Linked DNA regions of Caenorhabditis elegans. The protein of the gene in region 3 interacts with the protein of the main gene of each other region in a pairwise test. Each region holds a gene or a part of one and is shown on either strand. Other genes may lie near its edges.

Region 1 (4,369 bases), on a different chromosome or scaffold from region 3:
TATTTTGAACGAAAAAAGTGAATTTTGAGTAGAGATATTCTGTGTAAAGTAGTATTCTGACGGGAAATTTGAATTTTTGAGTTAAATTCTATCAATTTCAACCCAAAAATTCGAATTTCTCGCTGACCGCAAGCTGCAAATGCGCGCTAATGCAAAATTTGCATTGGAGCGCACTCGCAGCACGCGGTGGGTGGGAAATGTTTTTTTAAGTGGAGAATGCACGTTTTTCAGCCAAAATTAAATTTTTCTTCGAAGAAAATTGTTTTTAAAAAAATTTTTCAATGAAAAATCTAATTTTCGGCAATAATTTATTTAAAATTCACTTTTTCAATTAAAAATTCAAAGGCAAAACCCCGTTTTTTTCGCAATTTTCTCAATAGAGCACATTTTTTCCGTTGGAAAATTCAAATTCCCGTACATCTTTAATCTCGAATTCGGTGCGTCCAATGCTATGCGCCTTTAAGGTCTCGTAGCGAATAACAGGCGAGCAGTTCGGATGGAAAGCTACAGTAATATTTCGTTCGGTGACTCCAATTGCGACGCCAGCAGTCGACGGGGAGTTGAATGTGACGAAAACCTGCTCGCGGAGCATTGCACAACCTGAAAATTTGAATTTCTCATGATTTGTTCGGTGGAGCGAGCTTGCAGCATCCGGTCGGCGGGAAATTCAAATTTTTAGGTTATAAACTTGAATTTTCACCGAATTTTCGAATTTGCAAGTGTTTCAGGGTGAATTTTGGCGGGAAATTCGAATTTCCGGGTCAAACTTACACTTATAAACCTCCATTTTCTCGATTTGCACTATAATATGATTCCCGCGGACCACCCGTTCGAAGCTCCGGCTCCAGAAGATCTGAACGACGGATCCCACACCGATTGGGTCGAAATTTGACGGATATTGTATACACGTGGCTTTTGAGAAGATAAAATGAATGCCGGAATCCTGAAAATTGCGAGTTTTTAAATTTTTTGCAAAAAAAAAATTGGAAAATCATGGTTTTTTTTTCGATTTTTAACTGTTTTTTCGTCGTGTTTTTAAGGCAATTTTTGCGATTTTTATCAATAATTTGCATATTTTAGGACTCCAAATATCGATTTTCCCTGGAAATTCCCTTACATCAAACGCCTCCTGCGTAATAACCTCTCCGGTACCATTCGAATAGCATATTATGACACCAGACGAGCTTGAATCTGAATTTACAAGCTTTAAAATCAAATTTGGCACTAAAAACTCACAATTTGCGCCTTCAAACTGGTCTTCTTGCTCGATTAAATTGAGTTTTGACTCGGATTCGTGCGATTTCACCCGTAATGGTCGACTATTTACAAGAACGGGTTGCATACCTGAAGAAAAATCGGATTTTTAGGAATTTTTATTGATTTTAACAGAAAAAATCAGAAAAAACGGGAGAAAATGAATAAAAATAGCGAAAAAATCAGCGAAATTAATTCAAAAAATCGTGGTGGCCGAGTCTAAAGTCAAAATGGCCTAGAAAACCCCTCCTCGGCCACCATTTATTTTTTTGAAAAAAATTGTTTTTTATCGATTTTCGCCAGTTTTCCGTCGATTTTCTCCATTTTTTCTCATAAAATCTATAGAAAGTTATTTAAATTTCAGATAATTATGTCGGGAGCCTCGAAAAAAGTGAGTTTTTATCGTTTTTCAAGGATTTTTCGCAGAAAATCGATTTTTCTCTATTTCCAGGTATCAGAGGAAGAGTTGCAGAAGCAATACGCAGACTATCGAGCTCAATTCGAGCAGTGGAAGGAGAATAATAAGTGGGAAACTCGAGTTTCGGGGAAAAATTGCAAATTTGGATGATTTTCAGGGGTTCCATTGGCACGGAGGCTTATAATTCGTATGTACAGCAATTCGAGCAGTGGGAGAAAGAAGTGGAGGCGAGAACGTCACAGGTTCGTAAAAAAAACCTAAAAATTATAGAAAAATCTGGAAAAAAGACAATTTTTGACCCAAAAATGCTGAATTTACTTTAAAATGTTCAATTTTCAGCAACAAAAGCACCGAAAAGCGGCGGCAGTTGACAAGGAGGCAGAAGCGGCGGCGGCCGCCTACGCACAATCACAAGAAGCCTACATGGCACATCATTTGAGAGGAATGGAGCAGACGGAAATGCAGAAAAGAGCCGCTGCTGCAGCTCAGCTCCAGCAGCAACAAATGATGCAGAATATGATGATGCAGAGACCGCCACGTACGGTTTTTAACCGGAAAATTTGAATTTTTCGCTGAAATTTGCATTAGAGCGCATTTGGAACAGCCGAAATTCAAAATTCCGTAAAAATTTGACTTTTTCGCCGATATTTGCATTGGAGCGCCCTTGAAACACGGAGAAATTCAAAATTTTGTAAAAATTTGATTTTTCCACCAAAATTCGCATTGGAGCGCACTTGGAACATTCAATATTTCAAAATTTTATGAAAAGTTGAATTTTGAACCGAAAATCTCAGTTTTCCGCTACAATTCACACTAGAGCACATTTGCAGCACCGAAAAGTTCAATTTTTACGAAAAAATCGAATTTCCCGCTGAAATTAGCATTAGAGCGCACTTGAATCACTCGGAAATTCAAACTTTTGTTAAAATATAAACTTCCGCCTAAAATTTGCATTAGAGCGCACTTTAGACACTAGAAAATTCAAGAATTCTGTGAAAATTTAAATTATTATTTGAAATTTGCATTGGAGCGCACTTGAAACACTTGAAAATTCGAAATTTTGTGAAAATTTGAATTTTTCACCAAAATTCGCATTAGAGCGCACTTGAAACACTTGAAATTTCAAAACTTTAGAAAAATTTTGAATTTTCCGTTAAAATTTGTATTGTAGCGCATTTTAGACACTAGAAAATTCGAATTTCTCGCTAAAATTCGCATTAGAGCTGATTTGCAACACCGACAAATTCAATTTTTAGGAAAAATTCGAATTTACCGCCAAAATTCGCATTAGAGCGCACTTGAAACACTCAAAAATTCAAAATTGCCAAAAAATTCAAATTTCCCTCTAAAATTCGCATCAGAGCGCACTTGAAACACTCAAAAATTCAAATTTTTACCAGCAGAACACCAGCAACCACCGCCACAAGACGTGATGTTCGGAGCCGTAGGACGTGTAGCTCAGGGAGCTCCAGCCGCCGCACCACCGCCCACGCAACAACCACCACCACAACTATGGGGAAACAATAAGCCGATCTACGATGCGCGGGACCCACTTTTTGCGAAATGGGGTGAACGAGCGGCGTCGGCACACTGCAAACCGGAGACCGAGCAGCAAATTGTAGGGAATTTTTGGAAAATCCTGGAAAATCTGAAAAATAGCCCGAAAATATCTGAAAATCCCGAGAAAATGGCGTTTTTGAGGTGTTTTTGCCTATTAAAACACGAATTTTGACCCGTTTTTGACATTTTTTCTCAAAAAATGCGTTATTTTCCCCCAAAAGTTCAAAATTCCCGTTAAAATTCAAATTTTAGCCAGAAATTTGAATTTCCTAGCTAATGCAAATACGCTCTACTGATAATCTGTGACTTGTGTGCCTTTATCCTCATTGATGGCTAGAATATCGGTATTCTCGGCTGAAACATGCAATAAATACCGTATTCCAACCAACAATTTGTGCAATAGAGCACATTTGTCACTGGGGATGCGGAAGCTATGCCCAAATTTTGAATTTTTCAGAACCCGGTCGCCTGTTGGCTCCTTCTAGATGCTCTCCGCGAGAAGAAAATGGTCCTGGCTCCGCACTCGAACACGTGTCCTCCTCCACAAATCGGTGGACATCAAATTTGATAAATTTTGTACAATTAAATAAAAATATTTTTTTTTCACTTTTAATGAATTTTCAACAAATTCCACCGTTTTTTTTTTCGTTTTTTGGGGAGTTGATAGGCGTGTAGGCATGTAGGTAGGCTTGAGGTAGGCACGAGACAGGTGTGTAGGCAAAAATTTAGAGAATAGGCATGTATGCAGATAGGTAGGCATGATGTAGTTGTGTAGGCATCAGGTAAGAGTGTAGGCACGTTGGTTAGCATTAGGTAGGAGTGTATGCAGATATGTAGACATGATGTTAGCATGTAGGTATGAGGTAAAAGTGTAGGCGCGTAGGCAGGTATGCTGTAGGTAGGCAGGTAGGCGTGTAGGCATAAGCTAAGAGTGTAGGCACGTAGGTAGGGATGAGGTAGGTACGTCGGTTAGCATGAGAGAGGCATGTAGGCACGTAGGCACGTGACAGAGTAAGGATATTATAATTGAATCAAGGTGATGCTCTTTTTTTAGTAAAAGTGTGCACTTTTGGATTTTTAGGTAAAGCCATGTTTAGAAATTCATAAAAAAAAATTTCTGTCATTGCGTGGAATCGA
Region 2 (3,613 bases), on a different chromosome or scaffold from region 3:
GAGAAGAGAAAAAGACAAGGCCATTCAGACTCGGCCATCGTTTCCAAACAGCTGTTCGGGACACTCTATACATAAGAGACGGCAGAGAAAGAAACAGTTTCTGTGTGTCTTGTCGGGCATCATTGAAAGAGAGACAAGAAGGATGCTCGCAAGTATTGAATCTGTTTTCATGGGAAAAATTAATGAAAAAACTCAGATAAACTATTTTGATCTATCTTTTGAAATTCTTTTGAAAATAAATATATGTTGAGTTCAACTGGTAGATCAAAATGCTTTTTTTGTAAAATAGGTTCACAATCGTTCAATTAAATAGTAACAAAACATTTTCGTTGGGGAAATAGGGTGTTTTTTTTTTTAATATTTTAGTATTCTATTTCAAAGCTTGGAAGTGTTTTGATTATATTTCTACTATCTGAAAATGTTTGCAATTCAGTTAACTTTTTCTGTTATAGTAAGCCTATTTCTTGAGATTATCTGAACTAGGATAACATGCTTCTCTGAAAACATCCTTCGATTGAAAAAAGTTATGAGAATAAAATAATTTATTTTCTTCAACAACACAAATCACAAATAATAATGTGAAATTAGTTTCTGTATCCTTGGTTTCCAGAGACAGCGGCGTTGGTGTTTCTCTGTGGGCATGGACAATATTGAGCATCTTGTCCTGGCTCTCCTTCCTCTCCTGGACTTCCAGCGGCTCCATTTGGTCCATCATCTCCCTTCTCTCCCTGTGGTCCACGCTCTCCTGGTGGTCCAGCAATTCCAGTTGCTCCACGATCTCCTTGCTCTCCTTGATCTCCAGACTCTCCTGGTGCTCCTGGAGTTCCCTTGGCTCCTGGAAGTCCGATTTGGTGTTCAACATCGGCTCCTGGCTCTCCAGTTGGTCCTTCTTCTCCAGCGGCTCCTGGTGGTCCAATTGGTCCCAAAGATCCGGGCATTCCTGGGGATCCGTCTCTTCCTGGCATAGCGGCTTGTCCACGGGCTCCACGCATTCCACGGGCTCCTGGCTTTCCTTGGGATCCTGGTGGTCCTTGTGGTCCAGCTGGGCAAGTGAAGCATCCATCGTATTGTTGAGTCTGAGCCTTGGCATCATCAGCATCTTCTCCGTCAACTCCTGGAACTCCTGGAATTCCATCTGGTCCATCATGTCCTGGAGTTCCCTTTGGTCCGGCTGGTCCAGCTGGGCATGAGTTTTCGGTGTTGCAATTGCACTTGTCTCCTGGTCCAGCTGTAAATGTTCAATTTATATAAGATCTTTGGACTATTTTTTCTATACTTACCAGATGGGGATCCATCTGGGTTGATTGGGCTTCCTCCTGGATGTCCAGTAACTGATGGTGGAACTCCAATAACTCCTGGAAGAGTTGGGGTGTTCGATGATCCAGTATTTCCTGGGAAGTGTCCTTGTGGGCCTCCTGGGAATCCACCGTGTGGTCCAGATGGTCCGGATGGTCCAGATGGTCCGCTACCGTATCCACCATATCCACCGTATCCTCCGGCTTGACGACGGACACGTCCGAACTTCTGCATATCCATGTAGATTTGATCGGACTCGAGACGCCATGCCTCCATTTCAGTCGTCAACTCGTCCCGGAGCATCGAGACTTGCTGATAGACTTGTGGGACAAGAGAGACGCAGAGAAGCATCGAAACGGCACCGAGGGTGCACGCGGCATATCCCGCGAACACTGACATGATCTGGAAAACATGTTTATTCTAGAATTTGCGCGTAATCTGAATTGCCAAGAAATACGGTATCCGGGATAAAAATTGCAAAAATTCGTATCAGCGAATAAATATCGTCAAAATAAACAAAGATGGAAAATGTTTTGATAAAAGTGTCCATTTCTCCTCTCTCAGGGACCCTTTTATACTCATAAACTCCCTCGCACAAGGACAAAGGACTACTGTATGCGAGACTCCGCCCCCTCATATGACCGATATGATAATCATCTCGAATATTATGCATAATTGTCCGTTATCTCCGATATGATGACCTAGATTTGAGAAGGGGATTTTTCGGGTCGAAGGACCTGTTTTTAATATTCATACAATAGAAGGAGGAAGAAGAATATAAGAAATTTTATAAATTAAAAATAAATAAAAGTCAACTATTGAAATTGAAAGAAATCGGGAAAGAATTGAAGAAAATATTGAAAAAGGAAGTTTTTTGATTCAAAAATATTTAGTTTTCCCAATTCTTAAATTTATGACGGAGGGGGAGCCGGTGGTGGTGGTACACTGAATGTTGCATGATAATCCGTTCCAGTTACAGCTGAAGCTTCACCTTCTGCAGGAGCAGTACCGTAGTATTGATTGTAGTATTGACTGCCATCTTCTTGGTAATATGTCGATGCATCTTGGCTGAAAATAGGTAATTATTTTTGAATAAAAATACAATTCAAACAATTAAAAAAGTGATTTTCCTTACCCTTCATGTCCATAATATGAATCTCCATTTTGCCCATATCCTTGTTGATCGTATCCTTCACCGTAGTGTTGCTGATTATATTCTCCATATCCTTCTTGACTGAAACGTTTATTAAATTTAATTAATTTCATTTTAAAATATTTAATTTTATTACCTTCCATAATAATCCTCTTGTCCTTGATAATGTCCATCGTAACCACGTTCTCCATATGTTTGTGAATCATAATCTTGTCCATATCCACTTGTTCCTTGATACGATCGATCGCTGAAATCGAGATTTTGAAAAATTGAAATTTTTTTGGGGTTTCGAAACGCGAATAGTCACAAATACTTTTTTATGTTTAATTGAAGGCTTCGAGAAGTTTTTGACAAACTGCCTCAAAGTCGTGAAGTGTCGATCGGCATTATTTGAGTCAGTTTTAGAGCAAATTTTCGAAAATTTCAATTGAAAGTAAAGTTACTTTCCGAGATAGCTGAGAAAAAGGGGCTTTCGTATACTTTCTCAATGTGTTTTATATCTCTGCTCATTGCTGAACTCACTAATCATCATATCGATCACGTCGCCCAGATTTTTGCGGAGGACCACCATAATCTCTTCCACCATCACGGCCACCGCCTCGGCCACCACCACCACCTCCTCGCTGGAATTCATCTCCTGAAAAATAAAGCGTTATTTAAAAATATTTAAAAAAAAACATAAGGATTTCGAATTTTCGTGGAATAAAGGTTGAATAAACTTACTTCTTCGTTTTCTTTCTCTTTCCTTAACACCTCCTCTCGCTCCTCTTCTTTGCTTATCACCCATTCGATCCCCTCCAGGTGGCCGATCGATTCCAGGCATTCCAGATCCTGGTGGTCTATCAACTCCGCGCCTTCCACCTCCTGGTGGCCGATCTACTCCAGGAATTCCTCCACCTCCAGGTGGTCGATCAACACCACGAGAATCACCTCCAGGTGGGCGATCGATTCCACGAGATCCTCTGCCTGGCGCCCGATCAACCCCAGGAACACCACCACCCGGTTCTCGATCCCTACTTCGTTCAATTCTGTCTCCACCTGGTGGTCTATCAACTCCTGTAACTGGCGACTTGCTCCGAACCTTTTCACCACGATCCCTATTACCACCAGGTGGTCTATCGACTCCAGGAATTCCTTTCGAATGATCAACAGGTGTATAATTAT
Region 3 (5,609 bases):
ACTTGACGATCTATTTCTTTATTTTATCAAAAAATTCGATGATAATAATTTGGGAGCTGATGTGAATATTATCCTAACAGCTGATCATGGACATGCAGAAATTAAAGGTAATAATTTAAAATAGTTGAAATTAAAATCTTCATAATTCCTAAAACTAAATTCAGATCACAAACATGTCATGTGCGTGAAAGATTATGTATCTGGCGCTGGATTCGAAATGGGTGATCATATGATTTATCCACACTCGGATGAAATTGGAAAACAAATTTATGCAAATTTAACATCAGCAGTGAAAGAGCATGGATATGATGTGAATATTCATTGGAGAGAGGAAGTTCCAGAAAGATGGCATTATCGAAACAGTTCGCGAATTGGAAAAATCGTTTTCGAGCCGCAAATCGGTTCTTCGATTTCGTTTTCGTGTACGAAGGATCTTATGGAAAAGTATGTGGTTTACAACCGGGCTGTGCGGCAAATTTTTCTGGCAAACGTAAACAATAGTAATGCAGAAACAGGTGCATTCTATCTGAAAATAATATTTAGCTTTGTTGAATAATTGGAAAAAAAACCTTAAATATTGCCCGAATGTTGTCATTTGCAGAATAACTTTTAACGGCACTATTTGAGACCTTTGTCAAGTTTTTCAACAAAAACAAATATCATTTTTAGATGGAATGGGACATTTTTTCTTGAATTATCATATTAAAAAAAGGCAGTTTGATCCGTTTACCGGAAAAAATATTACAACGATTAGTTTATTGAAATCAACTTTCAGGCAATATGGAGAAAACGGAACATTAAAATTCAATTCATCAACTCACGGACAAGATCCTGATCGTCCAGAGATGAGAGCTTTCCTTATTATGAGAGGCCCAGCGTTTTCTGAAAATTATACGGTATAAGCTAGGCATTTTGAGAACTGTATGATAAATATTCTTTCAGATTGCCGATATTCCTTCAAATGTGGATTTGTACAATATAATGTGTCATGTGCTTGGTATCACACCAACTGAAAATAATGGAACCATGGAAATTGTGAAACGAGCTTTAAAAGAGAACAGATATTTACCAATGACACATGGTTTCGTATTTAATCAGATTACGGTAGGTTATTCCACAGAGTATTTGACTCAATTCTAAAGCTTATCAAAAGCACATAATTTTTCTTCAGGATTCATGGAGTTTTTCGCTTATTTTAATTCCTTCAATGTGTATTGTTATAATATTCTTCGCTTATGGATGTAAGAATACCGTACTCAAATCTGATCCCAATTGGGGAAGATCCGATACAGTTCAAGGATATCGGCCATTGAGTAACCGGACGAACGAAGGATTCGAATTAAATGATGATGAGGATGAGGATGAAGGAGATGGATTAAGGAATTCGATAGATTTAGAAAGAGGTGGAAGAAGGAGTCAAGCAGGAGGTGGTGCACTTGGAAGTGTGAGTTTTATATTGAAATAATCGGAAAATCAAATATCGCTCGAAATTATTTTAAAGAAAAAATAAATAAAAAATTACCCGAAATGTTCTCAAAAATGTGTAGATTTTCAGCTGAACAATGGAACGGTAGCAATGTCTGGACTACTGGATGAAATGAGCGATGATGATATTTGATCTTTTTAATATAACTTTTTGCATTCAAATTGTAAATATTTCTTGTGACCTCTTTATATATTTCCCCCATTGTGCCTTCGATTTCTCTTTAATTTCTGCAGAATATTCAAATCACAAAGCAAAATATTTATCTCTTTATTTGTCCTAGTCATCCTTTCATCTCTTTTTGATTTTTTTCCCCGGTTGTGGATTTTCAGGATTTTCAAAATCATCCAAAGACAGTTTATCAATTTTCAATGTGATATATTTTCAAAAAAGATTACTTAACTTTAATAATGAATGTTTCTCATATTTTTTACTTCTTAATTATAATTTTATTTTCTTTGGTTTTCATTTAGCCTCATGTTTTATTTCGAGTATTTAAAATGATTATTTTTCTAGTTTCTATAGTTTCAGGCCATGTCCGCTCCAAATGAGCCACAATCTTTCACGGATCCAGCGTACTGGAAGAACTTCTTTGCAAAACGAAAATCTCCATTCGAATGGTAATTAAATAATTATATTTCTTTGTTAAAATATGATGTCTTTCAAACAAAATTAAAAGAAAATTATCACATCACTATCAAGTGTTTTTCAGATTTGTCAAAGAAAAATTATCAATGTTTCGAAAAATAACTTAAAATATTGACCATTTTTCTTCTTTTTAGATAGAAATTTTTCCTCATCAACATACACAAAAATTGAATGCTTTCGATTCTCATGTAAAAATTTGAATTCTTTCAGGTACGGTGACTATAATTCTTTATCAAATGTAATTGATAAATATTTGAAACCGAAAGACACGTTCCTTCAACTTGGATGTGGTAATTCGGAATTAGCGACCCAACTCTACGATAATGGATTTCATTGCATTCACAGTATTGATGTAGAACCATCTGTTATTGCCACACAGATTCGTAAAAATAAAGAACGACTCGGAATGACTTTTGAGACTGGAGATGCTGCTAATGTGAGTTTGGAGAATGTCCCGTTGTGCACAATGAACAATTAAAAGAAAAGAAATTCGAAAATAATATGTTATAGCTATCCATGGCCGATGAAGCACATACCATTGTAATTGATAAAGGAACTCTCGACGCTCTTCTTCCACCATCAGCTTCAGAATCCGATGAAGCATTGGTTACAAAGATGTTCGAGGAAGTTCATCGTGTATTGGCTTCTGGTGGAAGATATATCATTGTCACATTGGCTCAACCACATATCACCGAGTTCTGGATTAATCACTTCTATCCATTGTAAAATATTCATTTTTCTCAAAAATCTGTAAAACGTTATTCCAGAAAGCAATATATCCTACGTGTTCAAAAAGTTGAGAACAAGGCTTCTGGATTCCCAATGCCAGTTTTCTGCTTTATTGCCACGAAAATGCGAGCACCAATGCCAAATCCATTGGTAGGTAGATAAATTGCAAATTATTTTATTTAAATAAAACCTATATTTTTAGCCTCTAGAAGTTCTTCGCTCCAGCTCCATCCGTACTGATCGTATCGATAGCACTGACGAATTGAAGGATTCTATTCGTGGAGAACAGGAGCTCTCACAATTCATCTACCTGTGCTCGAAGTAATTCATTTTAGTTTTTCCCTTGAAATTAATGAAATTAATTTAGAAAGCTGGACTCTGAAGTTTCAATCGACTTTCATGGAGCAGATCCATCATTAGGACCACGTTATCGTATCTGTGTTGTTGATAATCCAGAAGCCAAGAAGATTGACACATTCGCCGCATTTGTGGTTCCAATTGGACGGTTTGTATAGAAAACATTTTTAAATTCGAATTCTTATATTAATTTCAGTGATTCTGAATGGCTATTCGCCTCACCAAAGGGACGAAAAGCTCTTCGTGTTCAATGTGGCCGCGAACGTCTCGCAATCGTTTTCCTCAACAGAAATCAAAAATATGAAAAAGGAATGGACGGTGTGAAGAGTGATATTGGACATTTTGTTGGAATGCTGGATGTTAGACAAGATAATACTGGAAATGTATGTAGAATTGAACACGAAACATATGAAAACCCGATTTTCAGTACGAAATTCTATCCATCGGAGGAGTCGATGTTAAGCGAACCGTTTCAACGGGACGTTCGGATATCAATGGTGGTTGGAGTGTTGAAGAAGTTACTGTTGAAGGAAATCAAACTAGAAGACTAGTTTTTCTGAATACGATGAATCTGGTACAATCTGAAGCTTATCTGAAAAGTTAGTAGTTGAAAATTTCATTTTTCAACCCCCTTTAAAGAGTAAAATGGATTTATTACAACTGAAAAATCAATGAAAACTGAGCAGCAACGAGATTTGAAAATTGCAGTATTGTTTAAAGGCGCACATCCTTCTGTATTATTTTCGGTGGAAAAAGAATAACATTTCCCATCTTGTTAATACACGAGAGGTAGTTTATCAGAATTAAAAAAGAACGGTTTAATGATGCTCACCTCAAAATTTAAAATTAACATTACAGCCGGAAAGAAGAAGCAAACGGTCATAGATCTCGATCAATTGGCATGCGATTTCCATAGAATGATGATCGGATCCCTAGCCATCAGTCCGCAACAACCATTAGCCAAGAATGATGCTCAGTGTAAGATGGCTGTTCTTGGATTAGGTGGTGGACTTTTGACTGCATATCTTGTCAGACATTTCAAAAAGGTATCAATCAAGTCTAGAAACTTAACAGTGCTAAATTTTCGTTTCAGGCTCATGTAACCGCTGTGGAACTTGATCCAGAAGTACTCAAAATCGCAAATTCTCACTTCTCGTTCCCCCATTCGGACGCTAGAATTGACGTTGTCATCCAAGATGCTCTTATTCATCTCCAGGAGACTGCAAAGAAACCTGAAGGTATTTAAAATATCATGTTCAAATTTTATTTTACAAATCAATTCTTATTTCCAGAAGAGAAATACGATGTGATTTTTGTGGATGTTTCTGGAAGTCAGAACGCTGCTCTTCAATGCCCACCATCCGCCTTCCTTACCCCAGAAGCTCTAGGAAATATGAAAAACTCGGTGAAAGAACAAGGAATGATTAGTTTGAATTTGGTTACACGCGATTCGGAATTCGGAAAGTCGATTAAAAAGAATATCGCAGAGTATTTCCCAACTCTCTACACAGTTCTGTCCTTCGAAGATGTTAATGAGGTAAACTAAATTAATTATTGAAATTCTACTAGCAAATATATTTCTTTCAGATTATCATCGGTCTCAAAACACCCAAGAACACAATAAAACCAGTGGTTCCTCAGAAATTAATCAACACAGTTCGCAAAGATATTGGAAGCTATGATGAGGTTGTCGGTGCTATCTCAAACATTCGTATGGTTGATTATTAATTGCACAATTTCGTTTGTTATCTTGTTTATTTTCAGTAATTTTTTATTATATGTATTCGATTGTTCCCAGTTATTCAAATTTTCCCCCGTTTGTTGTTTCGTTTGTTCACCTGATGAATTTTGTTTTACACTTTGCAAACATGTCTAATGTTCTCACGGTGCAGTGAAAAACAACTTTGCAGGAAAAACAACTATTAACAGCATATTCGATATCTCGACGCGATCCTACTGTACTTCCGATGTAGACTATTTGGAATTCCACTAGGAAGTTGTGCAAATTATCTGTATTTGATTATGCGGCCAAAACTATTCTATAATAACTTTGGAACTAAAAAATATTTTCCGTCACAAAATATGAAACTTTTAATTTTTGATCGTCAGTTTTTCTACAAAATAGTATTCATTTTGGTAGTGATCTGTACTGCAGAAATAGATTAATCTCTAAAAAAGTTCAGACAACGAGTAATTTCTATCAAACTGTGTTTTTTAATCTTTTAATTTTTATTTCCGCCTCTCACCGTGCGGTTATAAAATTCATAAGTTCACTTGTGCGGCCATCATGGTTCAAGTTAGTACTGTACTTTCTCTATTTCTATTGCTAATATGTCTAGTTGATTCCAGTTCTGAACCAAAACGTACAATGATAAGAAAGGTAACTAGGGAA
Region 4 (3,749 bases), 2.6 Mb from region 3:
CATGATAATGAATTTTTCCGCTGAATTTTACCAGTTTTCACTCACTTTAGGTCCTTTTTACCCAGTTTTTGACACCTTTTGGCAGGTTAATCGGGCGTGATCCAGTTTTAACTGTTTTGTGCCATTTTTAGTCAGTTACAGACAAATTTTGCCAATTTGAACGAAAATTTTGTCAAATTTCCTACCATGCAGCAGAACTGTCTAGCCGAGTGGCTTTCGGTAATGAGCCAAGCTTCCATGTGGCTCAGCTCAAAAAGTGATGATTCGTATTGTCATGTGGTGTCCATCCGCCAGATGACCCATGAACCTCGATTTTCACACCAAATATTCATGACTTCTTAAGAAACCACCCTCAAGCTTTTCTCACGTTTCCAACATCTTCTCTGCGTCTCTTGATTCTCCACGCTTTGATAGGTCTGAAGTTTGGAGCTTGGTCGCCAACACTTGAGAAGGAAGGATGATGGGAAAATGTCTGATGTGGAGTCAAGAATAGAACTGGAAAAGAGAACAGTGAGGTCTGTCTGGAGCCGAGAGGCTTCCTGGGCTCCATGGCTTTGCCGAATTTCACCCATTTCTAGGTGACAAGCTCGAAATTTCTAGATGACCGAGGTTTTTGCTCAGCCTTTTTGGAGAGCTTGAACTTTTCGAGCTTCTCCTCCTCTGCTCCTTGCACACACCAATTGTTTTTCTTATATACTTGCCACCCTTTTCCGTCCTCCATCTCCTCGTCACTCCATTTTCTAACACCTCGGCAACACACACACACTCTCCGGGTTTCAAACGCTGTCTCCTCTAAATGAGTAGTAGCATTGAATTATCGGTTAATCTACATCTCCACGCCGAATGACCAGCGAACAACATTTCATCGCGACTTTGATGAGGCGGCGGCGGCGTTGCATTTGTACATTTTTCTGTTTTATTTCTACAGCGTAGGATTTTTAGAGACCTAGTAGTAAATTCTATAACTTTCAGCTTAAAAGTACAAATAGTCCTGTACATGGCTAAACTCCCAGCGATTTTCGCCGAGCGCTGGCCCAATTGTTCCCATACGGCAATGAAAGATCCGAGAGATCCCAGAAGGTCATAGGATGATTAGAGATATCTGGAATCTGTTTTAGAATCTTTTTTTTTTTTTGAATTTTTAGAGCTATGGGGGAGTAATCTACGGGGAGTTTTAGGCAGCCTACAGTGGTTCTAGGCAGTCTACTAAAGTACTAGGCAGTCTACTGAGGTTTCAGGCAACCTACTACGGTTCTTGACAGCTTACTCGGCTCTAGGCAACCCACTGGGGTGTTAGGCAGCCTACTGAGGTTTTAGGCAGCTTTGAGGTACTTACGGTCGTCCAGAAGCCTCACGATCTTCTGGAATGTTGAAATACTAAAGTTCACCAGTATTTCCAATCAAAAACTTCATAGGAAAAAAATGAAATGGTCTTGTTAATTCAAAGGTACACAGACACGCATGTTTAACCTTTCTCACTTCTTCCAAATATTTGTTCATATTCGATGACATTTCCCCCCACCCCGACCAAAAAATGCCGTAATACGAGCACACATTTTCTGTCTCTGGCCCCAATTTGAACTTTTCCACTGAAAAATTCCCGTCTAAAATTTCAAAGTTTCAGCATCCGACCACCATGTGCTCCATGTGGCTCATGGCTTCATGGCTCATGGCTTTTGTGGCCGGCTCCACTCTCGCAGACTACTGTGGGGATCACAAGGTGCCATTTGGCATGGAGGTGCACAAAAATGGCAATGTGAACATTTTGTGCTCGCGGCCCAGTTGTCACGAGAAGAAGTATGCAGTGAGTTGTTTTTCCGGTTACACCGCATTTTACGATAAATTGCAGTCGGATATTATCGAAATTTCCACATTTTACAGTGAAAATTCGTATGTTTGAATTTTGTGTTTGTTTCTAGGTTATTTTCAAAATTTTCCCAGTTACTGTAGCTCCATGTATGTGTAAACACCAGATTTGACGCCAAATTGCAGAAAAACTTGGAAAACCCGGAAAACTAAAAAAAAACCCTATTTTAACACATTTTTGTCATACAGAAAAATATTTTAAATTAGTTTTTGAAACATTTCAGAAATTTCCAATCACAAGCCGACTACCGTAACCCCAAAAACCATATCTTACGAAAAAATGCACAGAAAATCGAAAAATTAACCCGAGAATTGTAAAAACGACGGTTTTTTTTCGAAAATTAGCAAAAATATCCGTACTGTAGCTCCATTTCCGTGCAAACACCGACTACAGTAACCCAAAGCACTGGATTTGACGCCAAATTGCACGAAATGTCGCAAAATGGCTCCAAAATGCGAAAATCTTACCGTTTCTAATTGATTTTTTGATATTTCATCAAATTATTGTCGAACGTTTTGAAAAACGATTTATTCTTAGCTATTTAGCCCATTTTTTAATTAATTTTGCTTACTGTAGCCCCGTTTTTGTGAAAACACCGGCTACCGTACCCCAAAACACTAGATCTTGCCACAAAATGCACAAAAAGACGAATTTAGGGTGAAAAATCGTGCAAATCCTAGTAAAAATCATGAAATTTATCATTTTCTCAATTTTTTCCAGGAATGCCCGGAACGAGCGACTTCAACGACATGCTCCACCAATTCCTCGTGGGTCGGGGGAGTAACTCAACATTCTGACGGAAGTCTGCGGCTTATGTGTTGTGAATATGACCTTCTTCCCACATATTCAACGATTCAGTATGAGAAAGTAGGGATTTTTGGCGGGAAATTTGAAAAAATTGGGGGAATTTTTCATGAAAATCCAAATTTCCAGCTTACTATCCGCACTGGCGAGTATTTCGAGGGCGATGAGCAAATGGAAGGGGATGTTGTGACGGCTTTTGACCTGATTGGCAATATTGAGCAAGTCAAAGAGCCCGATGGGTAGGTTTTTCTCGATTATTTCAAAAATTTTGCTCGGTTTTTGCAGAAAATACTCCTACAATCTCCTCATCTACCGCTATCATTGCGGAAATATTCCCGACACACCGCCGGCATGGTACATGAAGAAACAGTGGCCGTATTGGGAAAAATGAACGATTTTTCGGCGGGAATAATTTATTTTTTTATGTTTTTCTATGCGTTTTCGGGTGTTTTCGGGTTGCTAAGCGATTGGTTGCCTTTTTGAATCACTAGTCTTGGTTTTTGTTGTTTCTGTGAATGAATAATTGGTTTTTCGAGGTTTTTTTGTCAAACATGCCTAAAAAATAAATTATGACGTTTTAGTTGATTTGTTTGTTCTTTAAACGTCTGAAAATAAGGTTTAAATCTAATTTATTAATTATAAAATTCGTCAAAATAAGTTGCGCGTCAAATTATATGTATTGTACGCAGTGTCAAACTCCAGGCCTCAGTTTTCATGAATTTACCAGCGATTTTTGTTATAAATTTTTTTATTGAAATTTAAAATTTTTATTTTTCAACCAATTTGCCTCGAAAATTCGTTATTTCCCCATTAAAAACCGCTTTTCTAAAGTGTTGCGCGTCAAATAAAATGCCTGGTACGCAATGCACGGAGAATGCGCAAAGGACGACTGCTGGCGCACTTTTTGAATGCGGTAAATTGAGGCGCGAAGTTTCATTCGAAAACGCGCGCGAAACTTCATTCATCGCACTTTCTCCGTTCATTTCGTCCTATTTTTTTGTGGTTTTTCGCGATTTTTTCGCTTTTCTGAGTGAAAAAATAATTTTCCTTCGTTTTTTCAATGAAAATCCGCGGAAAA

The links.
Region 1: the proteins of metl-13 (region 3) and sut-1 interact in a two-hybrid assay, tested with the Caenorhabditis elegans proteins (one large-scale study listed by BioGRID).
Region 2: the proteins of metl-13 (region 3) and dpy-17 interact in a two-hybrid assay, tested with the Caenorhabditis elegans proteins (one large-scale study listed by BioGRID).
Region 4: the proteins of metl-13 (region 3) and wrt-5 interact in a two-hybrid assay, tested with the Caenorhabditis elegans proteins (one large-scale study listed by BioGRID).

What each region holds. Positions count from the first base shown.
Region 1 is NC_003280.10:1,120,509-1,124,877, reverse strand, and holds sut-1 (SUppressor of Tau pathology), read left to right. Parts: upstream 1-1,612; 5' UTR 1,613-1,624; coding exon 1,625-1,645; intron 1,646-1,705; coding exon 1,706-1,779; intron 1,780-1,829; coding exon 1,830-1,914; intron 1,915-2,011; coding exon 2,012-2,210; intron 2,211-3,072; coding exon 3,073-3,290; intron 3,291-3,689; coding exon 3,690-3,800; 3' UTR 3,801-3,865; downstream 3,866-4,369. Other genes in the region: eri-3 (Reverse transcriptase domain-containing protein), read right to left, coding at 419-600, 772-943, 1,118-1,191, 1,237-1,342.
Region 2 is NC_003281.10:5,105,415-5,109,027, reverse strand, and holds dpy-17 (Cuticle collagen dpy-17), read right to left. Parts: upstream 1,699-3,613; 5' UTR 1,696-1,698; coding exon 1,281-1,695; intron 1,229-1,280; coding exon 585-1,228; 3' UTR 537-584; downstream 1-536. Other genes in the region: F54D8.6 (C2H2-type domain-containing protein), read right to left, coding at 2,208-2,364, 2,432-2,530, 2,586-2,696, 2,972-3,086, 3,173-3,613. UniProt on the Caenorhabditis elegans protein: Secreted collagen that forms part of the nematode cuticle, which functions as an exoskeleton and a barrier to protect the worm from its environment.
Region 3 is NC_003282.8:6,633,075-6,638,683, forward strand, and holds metl-13 (Methyltransferase domain-containing protein), read left to right. Parts: upstream 1-2,014; 5' UTR 2,015-2,017; coding exon 2,018-2,103; intron 2,104-2,341; coding exon 2,342-2,567; intron 2,568-2,641; coding exon 2,642-2,853; intron 2,854-2,898; coding exon 2,899-3,010; intron 3,011-3,062; coding exon 3,063-3,181; intron 3,182-3,227; coding exon 3,228-3,365; intron 3,366-3,413; coding exon 3,414-3,600; intron 3,601-3,644; coding exon 3,645-3,816; intron 3,817-4,075; coding exon 4,076-4,263; intron 4,264-4,310; coding exon 4,311-4,455; intron 4,456-4,509; coding exon 4,510-4,754; intron 4,755-4,804; coding exon 4,805-4,945; 3' UTR 4,946-5,081; downstream 5,082-5,609. Other genes in the region: C01B10.9 (Bis(5'-adenosyl)-triphosphatase), read left to right, coding at 1-107, 165-444, 776-896, 943-1,104, 1,172-1,444, 1,556-1,618; C01B10.7 (TransThyretin-Related family domain), read left to right, coding at 5,505-5,597.
Region 4 is NC_003282.8:4,049,506-4,053,254, reverse strand, and holds wrt-5 (Warthog protein 5), read left to right. Parts: upstream 1-1,615; 5' UTR 1,616-1,636; coding exon 1,637-1,804; intron 1,805-2,587; coding exon 2,588-2,734; coding exon of another isoform or gene 2,735-2,800; coding exon 2,801-2,910; intron 2,911-2,956; coding exon 2,957-3,062; 3' UTR 3,063-3,249; downstream 3,250-3,749. UniProt on the Caenorhabditis elegans protein: Intercellular signal essential for a variety of patterning events during development.